Linked DNA regions of Mus musculus. The protein of the gene in region 1 interacts with the protein of each later gene in a pairwise test. Links are inferred from orthologs where the notes say so. Each region holds a gene or a part of one and is shown in the gene's direction. Other genes may lie near its edges.

Region 1 (3,500 bases):
TTTGGCTCCCCGCACCCCATTCCCTGTGGCCAGCTTGAGCCTGGGGCTTTAAGCCCCCCTCTGTGGCCTCTCTGAGGCAACTCAGGAGCTTGAGAGCCCTGGCTCTTCAGCAGCTGCCCTGCATTCTCCGTCCTGTCAACCCCACGGGTTCCCTGCCTCGGCCCCACCCTCACCTCATCTGTGCTTTCCTTCCCAAGATGGGGGCTCTTCCAACAGAAGCCAGTTTCTTCTCCTGCTCTGCATGCACCCCCATCCCTACCCCCCACCCCCCATGCAGAGGCAGCCAAGAAAATGACTTGTCATGCTGGGGTGGGGGGTGGGGGCGGAGCTGGAGCTGGAGGCTGAGCTTAGCGCGCACACACACACACACACACTCACACACTGCGGCAGACTGCAGCTGCCTGAGCACCCCCCCCCCCGCCTCACTGCAGAGACACCTGCCCTCCTGCCCACTCAGCTTCACACCCGAAGCCCACCCCCAACCACAGCACTGGCTGTGGGAAGCGCCCCAATCTCTTAAGATAGTCTTCTGCAAAGATAAAGGGGAAAAAAAACCCGGCAATTCCCTTCATTGGAAGAGCTGGGGGGCAGAAGAGAGAAACCAGGCTTCTCCCAGGATAAGGAGCGATGTAATGGACTAGCTCCCCAGGAGTGGGGCTGGGGGTCCTGTGTCAGGCCAGGAAGTGGGGTCAAAGGTCTTGTGAGGATACACTGGGGACCGTGAAGCTGCTGGAGTAGGGAGATGGTAGCTGGAGAGGACGTGTCTTTCTGTTCTACCTAGATTGAAGTGTGACCTTGTTTGTGATGGGGGAGTCCTGGCTCTTCTAAGTCTGACTTAAGACTGGCAGAGGATGGAGATAGCCCAGGCTGCGTAAGCCCTGCTCCTGCCTGCCTGTGCCAAAGTGTCCCTCCACTCCCAAGTTCACAGAAGAGGACCCAACAGGCCCTGCATAGGATTTGGGTCTCTGACACCTTCATCTTCCCCATAGTTGCATCTGCTGCCTGCTCCTTGGCATCAAGGCTCTTCCTCTAAACAAAGGCCCTGGCCCCAGTCACCCTTGTCCCAGCCTCAGAAAAGAAAAGGGAGTTGGAGTCGCCGAAGAGGGCTCCAGGGAACGGACTCTGAGCCTCCCCTCCCCAGTATCCTCCAGCTGCCCCTAAGGTTAACCCTACGGTGACTGCTACTGTGCTGGAAGAGGAGGCAGATGGGAAGGCAGGAACCTGGGAAGTCGGGTCCATCCTTCTTAGCCTCTTTCTCACCCACTGTGTTCTTTACTTTCACTGCTTAGTGTTTTATGTGGGTCTGGAGAAAGCCCTGGGGAGAGGATCTGCCCCCCCCCCCCCATCCTAAGCAATGCCTTGGCTGTTGTTGGCGGTCCTGCTTTTTATTTGGCTAGGTGTTTTGGGATAGAATTCTCTGTGTGGCTCTGGCTGTCCTGGAACTTAACTGGCTTTGAATTCATAGAAACCCAACTGCCTTTGCCTCCCGATTAAAGGTGTACGCCACCACCATGCCCTGCTTGCTATTGTTTTTAATTCTGTGGTGTGTGTGTGTGTGTGTGTGTGTGTGTGTGTGTGTCTGTGTTTGTGTCTGTGTCTGTGTGTCTGTCTGTCTGTGTGTGCGTGTATAGGTAGGTCAAAAAACAGCTTGCAGGAGTCATTCCTCTTTGTACCTCCAGTCCTAGGATGCTTGGCAGAGAGCATCGCTGGCCCTGTTTCTTGTTTTGAGCCAGCCACTTACTTTCTGTACTCTGAGGCAGGGAACTGGTCGCAGGGATGATGAGTTCTGCAGCGAGCTGGGTGTCCCTAGAGCCTGGGCACGTGAGGGAGATAGAGGAGAGGGAGCTGTGAAATACTTGGGAGCACGGTGGTGGGAGCACGGCTCTGACACGGAAGGCTTGGCAGAGTCAGAAAACAAAATAGCAAGTTAGAATCCTCTGTCCCCTCCAAGAAACCAGTTGCCACGTGTCTCCATCATCTTCTATTACAGGTGTTCTGTCCTTGGGTAGGGGACTTGGGGTGGAAAGGAAGGGGAATCTGAGACAGAAGCGCCTAACTCCTTACTGCCAGCCGCGGGCAAAGGCAGAGAAAGCTCCGTAAAGACCGCCATCCCTGGAGCCCTCCCCCCACCCCCAATCCCCAGGCAGCACCAGGAACTTAGTGCTCCAGAGGGACAAAAAGCTCCTTGTCAACAGAGCTGTCTGGGGCTGAAGTTCTAGGCAAAAGGGCGGGGACTGGGCAGCATCGGAGGGTGTGGCAGATGGAGGGAAGGGAGAAGTCTGCTACCGTGGGGGAGAGGAGGGAGAACCCTGGAAAGGGAAGGGCTGGAGGAGGCAGTTCCCAGGCCTCCCTTAGTGGCATCCTAGATGACTGGGTACCCTGTACCCCATTTTCTGATCATTTGTTTTTCCTCCCCTGTGCCCCCCCCCCCAGTACTTCTCATTTTAAATCAATACCTACTGATTTCAGTACACATGCCTACATCTCTCCCTCAGGCCAGAGGACCCTCTGCCACCAGAGTGAGACCCTCGAGACCATCATCCTAGTCAACCCCACTGCAGACAGCATCAGCTCAGAGGTAAGGCCAGTGCCTGCGCCTCGCTTGTTCTGAGTGCTATAACCGACCCTTGGCGGCGCCACTATACCTCGGGCTACTATCTGAACTGACTTGTGATCCTCAGCCCCACTCTGGGGAATACGGAGTGAGGAATGTGTCCTTATATCACTGAAGGGGGCAGGGCAGGGATTTTCAGTGCCTTTCCCTGGGTGCCCCATACCTGTGCCTTCTCTGCCCTCCATTTCAGGTTCACCATCTTCTTAGTAGCCCATCAGCTCACAAACTCCTCATCTTGAGTGGACAAACTTTAGAACCCGAGGGAGACCTTATCCTACAGAGTGGTACTTACTCATATCAAAACTTCGCCCAGGTCCTTCACAAACCTGAGGTGAGTTCCCTGCTGCGTGTCTTGGAAGAAGGGGACAGGAGGCAGGACTTAAGTTGTAGGGAGAAAGGCAAGGGAGGGGAAGTCTTATAAACACTGACTATCAGGAACCCTGACAGGAGGTAGGCATTTTACCTCAGAAAAAGGTAAAGAGTAGGGGCTGAATCTGGGTCAGACTAAGATAACCCCAATGATTTGATCAGCTTCTCTTTCCTATTCCTCTAGATTGCCCAGTTGCTTAGCAATAGAGACCCTGGGATCCAGGCCTTCCTCACTGTTTCCTGCTTAGGGGAGGGTGACTGGAGCCACCTGGGACTGTCTAGTTCCCAAGAGACCTTGCACCTCCGGCTAAATCCTGAGCCTGTGCTGCCCACCATGGATGGAGTGGCCGAGTTCTCCGAGTATGTCTCTGAGACGGTGGATGTGCCGTCCCCCTTTGACCTGCTTGAGCCCCCCACCTCAGGAGGCTTCCTCAAGCTCTCCAAGCCTTGCTGTTACATCTTCCCTGGTGGCCGTGGGGACTCTGCTCTCTTTGCTGTCAATGGCTTTAACATCCTG
Region 2 (4,234 bases), on another chromosome or scaffold:
CGTCCTGTGTGGCTGGGTCTACAGGTGGGCAGGCCTACCACTGCACGGACCATTTTTACTGCTTCTTTAGGGCCCAGCATAGTGCTAGGTCTTCATGATGCTCAGGTGGGAGGAAATCCTGGCCCTCGGACAACTCACAGTCCAGAGAGAGAGACAAAGAAATGGGTCATAAGGTCATCATGACATGGTCACTGAGAAAGCTTTCTCTTAGCTGGTACCCCTAGCCTAGCCCTCCATGAGGACCCCACGCAGCAATGTTAAGCCATTTCCCCACTTTCTTTCCTCCTTTTTCTTTGTTCAGTTTCTCTTGGGGGCGGGGTAAGGCCCTCTTTGACGCCCTTTGCAGCTTTCTGTCTTTCCTATTTCTTACAGTGGACTGGCTTAAATCCTTTAAGATAGGAAGAGGTGTCATCTCCTGCAGGAAGTGGTAATTCACGAGTTAAGACCTGGTGTGTATGAAGAAACTCCATCCTCTGTACAGAAACCGTGTGCCCACCGGCAAGTTCCCTGCGAGGCCGCATGCCTGCTTTCCCAGCTTGAAGCTTTTCATCTGCTCCATGAGAGTTGTTGGGATAGATGGGTTTCCTTGCACAGTGTACTTCAAGCAGTTCTCTGGCTTTAGGGCGAGAATCAGATGTAATGTGGTAGGACTGGGTGAAGGTTGCCTGCCCAAGCTGGGTGCTTTCTTTTTCAGCGGAGTGCCCTGCACCTCGCTTTCCTTTGTCCTACAGCTGTGTGTCTCCTAGATTCCTCCCCTTATCTTCTTCACCCGGAGACCTAAGTGTGGGCCTTGAAGAGAAAGCCGAGAGGGGACTCACCCAGGCCCACACAATTTACTGTTAGCCTTTCTCAGTGAAAAGGCTGCCCTGGGTAAGTGTCAGAATTCGGCCCAGAGCACACGAGGGGTTAGTTATCTAAACAAAGTTAAGAAAGAACGAAACCCTTGGCTAGGTAACAAAACCGTGCACCGGTGTCTGTTTAAGTGAAAACAAAACCACGTTAAAGGCGCCGCCCCTCCCCCATGCTTGATCACCCGTAGTTCGCTCGGAAGCTAGATAAAGCTGAAGCCCTGGGAGCAGCCAACGCCCCACAAGAGTGTAGCTCGTCTCGGAACTGCCCACCCAGACCCGGAGGGCTCCAGGCTGCCTGCTCCACGATGTCGCACTCAGAGAGGCTGCGACGAAGGCGGGGACCCGGCGGCCACACAACCCCACGGGGCGGGTCGCCGCGCAGACTCCACAGTCAACGCCTCTCCCAGCCCCGCGGACAGGGCAGTCAATCAAGCTAAGGCGAACCCGCCTTCGGACTGCAGCGGGCGACCAATCGGAGCCAAGCTCCGCAGCGATGAGCTCAGCCCTATGGCTTCCCATTGGGTGGCTATATTAAGAAAGTGGCCGGACTCTTTAAATAGCGGGCGCTAGGGCCGCAGCCCGCATCTGCCACCGCAGTTCGGTTGTCGTCGTCTGCGCCCCTGTACCCTAGGTCTAGAGTGAACCCGCCCCGGGAAAGAAGCTAGGCCGGGTCCGCAGCATCAGCCATCACTTCGCACAAAGCAGCGCAGCTCCGGGACCGCCGAGGACCACAGCGGCGCGGCAGCGGCGCGGCGACACTCAGTGCACCGTATGCCCCTGCGCCCCTGCCGAGGCAACCGGAGCGCCCCGAGAGACCGCGCCGCCGCGGGGTCCAGGTGCAGTTAGCGAGCCTAGCCCGCAGCGCGCAGTCGCGGGAGAGCGGGGAGCGGCAAGCAACAGGGAGCGGGACGGCGGCGAGGCGCTCGCGGGCCCCTCCTGCTGCCCGCGCCCGGCGAGCTCATGGCGGCCATCCGCAAGAAGCTGGTGGTGGTGGGCGACGGCGCGTGCGGCAAGACGTGCCTGCTGATCGTGTTCAGTAAAGACGAATTCCCCGAGGTGTACGTGCCCACCGTGTTCGAGAACTATGTGGCGGACATCGAGGTGGACGGCAAGCAGGTGGAGCTGGCGCTGTGGGACACGGCAGGCCAGGAGGACTACGATCGTTTACGGCCGCTCTCCTATCCGGACACCGACGTCATCCTTATGTGCTTCTCGGTGGACAGCCCGGACTCTCTCGAGAACATCCCCGAGAAGTGGGTGCCCGAGGTAAAGCACTTCTGCCCCAATGTGCCCATCATCCTGGTGGCCAACAAAAAAGACCTGCGCAGCGACGAGCATGTCCGCACGGAGCTGGCCCGCATGAAGCAGGAGCCAGTGCGCACGGATGACGGCCGCGCCATGGCGGTGCGCATCCAAGCCTATGACTACCTCGAGTGCTCGGCCAAGACCAAGGAGGGCGTGCGCGAGGTTTTTGAGACGGCCACGCGCGCCGCGCTGCAGAAGCGCTACGGATCCCAGAATGGCTGCATCAACTGCTGCAAGGTGCTATGAGGGACGCGTCCTGCCTCACGCCCTTGCCAGCGTGGCTCCCCCTCCTTGGCCCGGTCGCCCACGAACCGGGAGAAAGGGAGACCCATGCCCCCAAGGACACCACCAGACTGCCTGACATCTGCTGGTGGCTCTGGCTGGTCACGCTGAGAATTAGCGTGGGCACCGAGCTCCCCCTTCCCAGTGTCTGTGTGTGTCCAGCTGTGTGGCACAGGCCTGGGCACCCTGCTGAGTGCCAAGGGGTTCCTGAGCATCCTTTTCTAAAGAGCCAGGCCTCAAAGTGTGGTTGTGTGTGTGTACGACTCCCTACACCCCACCCGACTCCTGCCCCACCCCCGCCTCTGGTTTCCCCAGGGGCACGCAGAGTGGTTGCGCCCCCAGCAGGTTTGCTTGTAACCAGCAAGCCACTACTGTTGCTCCATGTCTGTAACATAGACCCCTGGAATGGCGGGAGGGGAGGGCTGGGGGGAGGATGGGGCTGTTACATAAATACAGATTTTATTTTCGGAGGCAGAATGGTATTGTTTAGTGGTGTGTGGGGCGACCAGGGCCCAGAGCAGCTCCTTTCCCAGGCTGGGTCAGGCGCCCACCCATCCAAGCATGAACTGGACTTGGCCATCTTTCCACACCCTGGGGAAGACATTTGCAACTGACTTGGGGTCGAGAGGAAGCAGCTCAGACAGTGTCTCCTGGGCCAACCCCCAGCGAACCTCCGGCAGAGGATCCAGGGTGTGCAGTGGGGTCACTTTTGCCATAAGCGAACTTTGTGCCTGTCCTACAAATGAACATTGTTCAGCTCAAGAGACTATTGTTACTGAATTTATTTAAACGCTGAAGCTTTTTGTTGTTGATGAAAGAGTTCTTTGCACAATTGTCCCATTGTTTGACACCCAGTGTACTTGTCATTTGCATAAGACAGCATTCTGACCACACTTGTATGCTGTAACCTCATCTACTTCTGATGGTTTTTTTAAAACTATGATGACTCTAAGATTACAAAAACAACTAACTTTTGCTTTGTTTTCTTGAAAAAAAAATGTCAACAGTGTGAATTTTTTCTTTAAATTTGTGTAGCATACGCAGTTTTGGTAAAGGAAGGCAACAGGTATTGGGGTCTATTTAAACCCCCCCTCCCACAAGACAAGTCTCTTCTGTGTGAAATTTTCTGTACGTTCCATGTGCAGAGAAAAGCCTCCCCCCTCTCCCCCCCGCCAGCCCAGTGGTACTTCTAAATTGTCTTGTTTTGTTTTTGTTTTATTTTTTTTAAATAAACTGACAGATGACAAATGGTGAACTTATGATGTTTACATAAGAGTTCTATAAGCTGTGTATACAGATTTTTATGTAAAATATTAAAAGACTATGATCATGACATTTATAAACAGCTCCTGTGGCTTAATAGTGTCAGAAGATGTCTGAATTGGGGGTAAGGGAAGAGTTCTTGTGGAGGTCCTTTCTGGCAGTAACTGCAGCCTCTCTATAGTAGTAAATATGGCCATGAGCCTGGCACCTTTTAGGGGCTGGGTGACCCTGAGAGGCCAGGTTATTCCTGTCAGATTCCCGGAGGAGGCTAAGCTTGTCGTCCATCAGACACCCAGAGTGTACTAATTATTGTGAATTTAGTCCCATTAGGTGAGGACAAAGGTCTTGGTTTGACTTCATCTATAGGTCTTTAAGAAGTGTCTGAAGTTTATTCTGGGCTCTACTACTCTCACTTCAACAATAAGAAAGGTTGCTGTTTGTGAATGTTAAACATAGATGACTTTATTATTATTATTTAAAATGTTTTTAGGGGGGTGGTTAATCACATGTGTGGACCAGGCTAGAATTTAAGA

What was found.
Region 2: the proteins of Map1a (region 1) and Rhob interact in a two-hybrid assay, tested with the Homo sapiens proteins (2 studies listed by BioGRID and IntAct). The link is inferred for Mus musculus from reciprocal best matches to the Homo sapiens genes MAP1A and RHOB.

Annotation. Positions count from the first base shown.
Region 1 is NC_000068.7:121,296,102-121,299,601, forward strand, and holds part of Map1a (microtubule-associated protein 1A), read left to right. Parts: intron 1-173; exon of another isoform or gene 174-253; intron 254-2,495; coding exon 2,496-2,578; intron 2,579-2,804; coding exon 2,805-2,945; intron 2,946-3,167; coding exon 3,168-3,500. UniProt on the Homo sapiens protein: Structural protein involved in the filamentous cross-bridging between microtubules and other skeletal elements.
Region 2 is NC_000078.6:8,497,210-8,501,443, reverse strand, and holds Rhob (rho-related GTP-binding protein RhoB), read left to right. Parts: upstream 1-1,434; 5' UTR 1,435-1,811; coding exon 1,812-2,402; 3' UTR 2,403-3,783; downstream 3,784-4,234. UniProt on the Homo sapiens protein: Mediates apoptosis in neoplastically transformed cells after DNA damage. Not essential for development but affects cell adhesion and growth factor signaling in transformed cells. Plays a negative role in tumorigenesis as deletion causes tumor formation.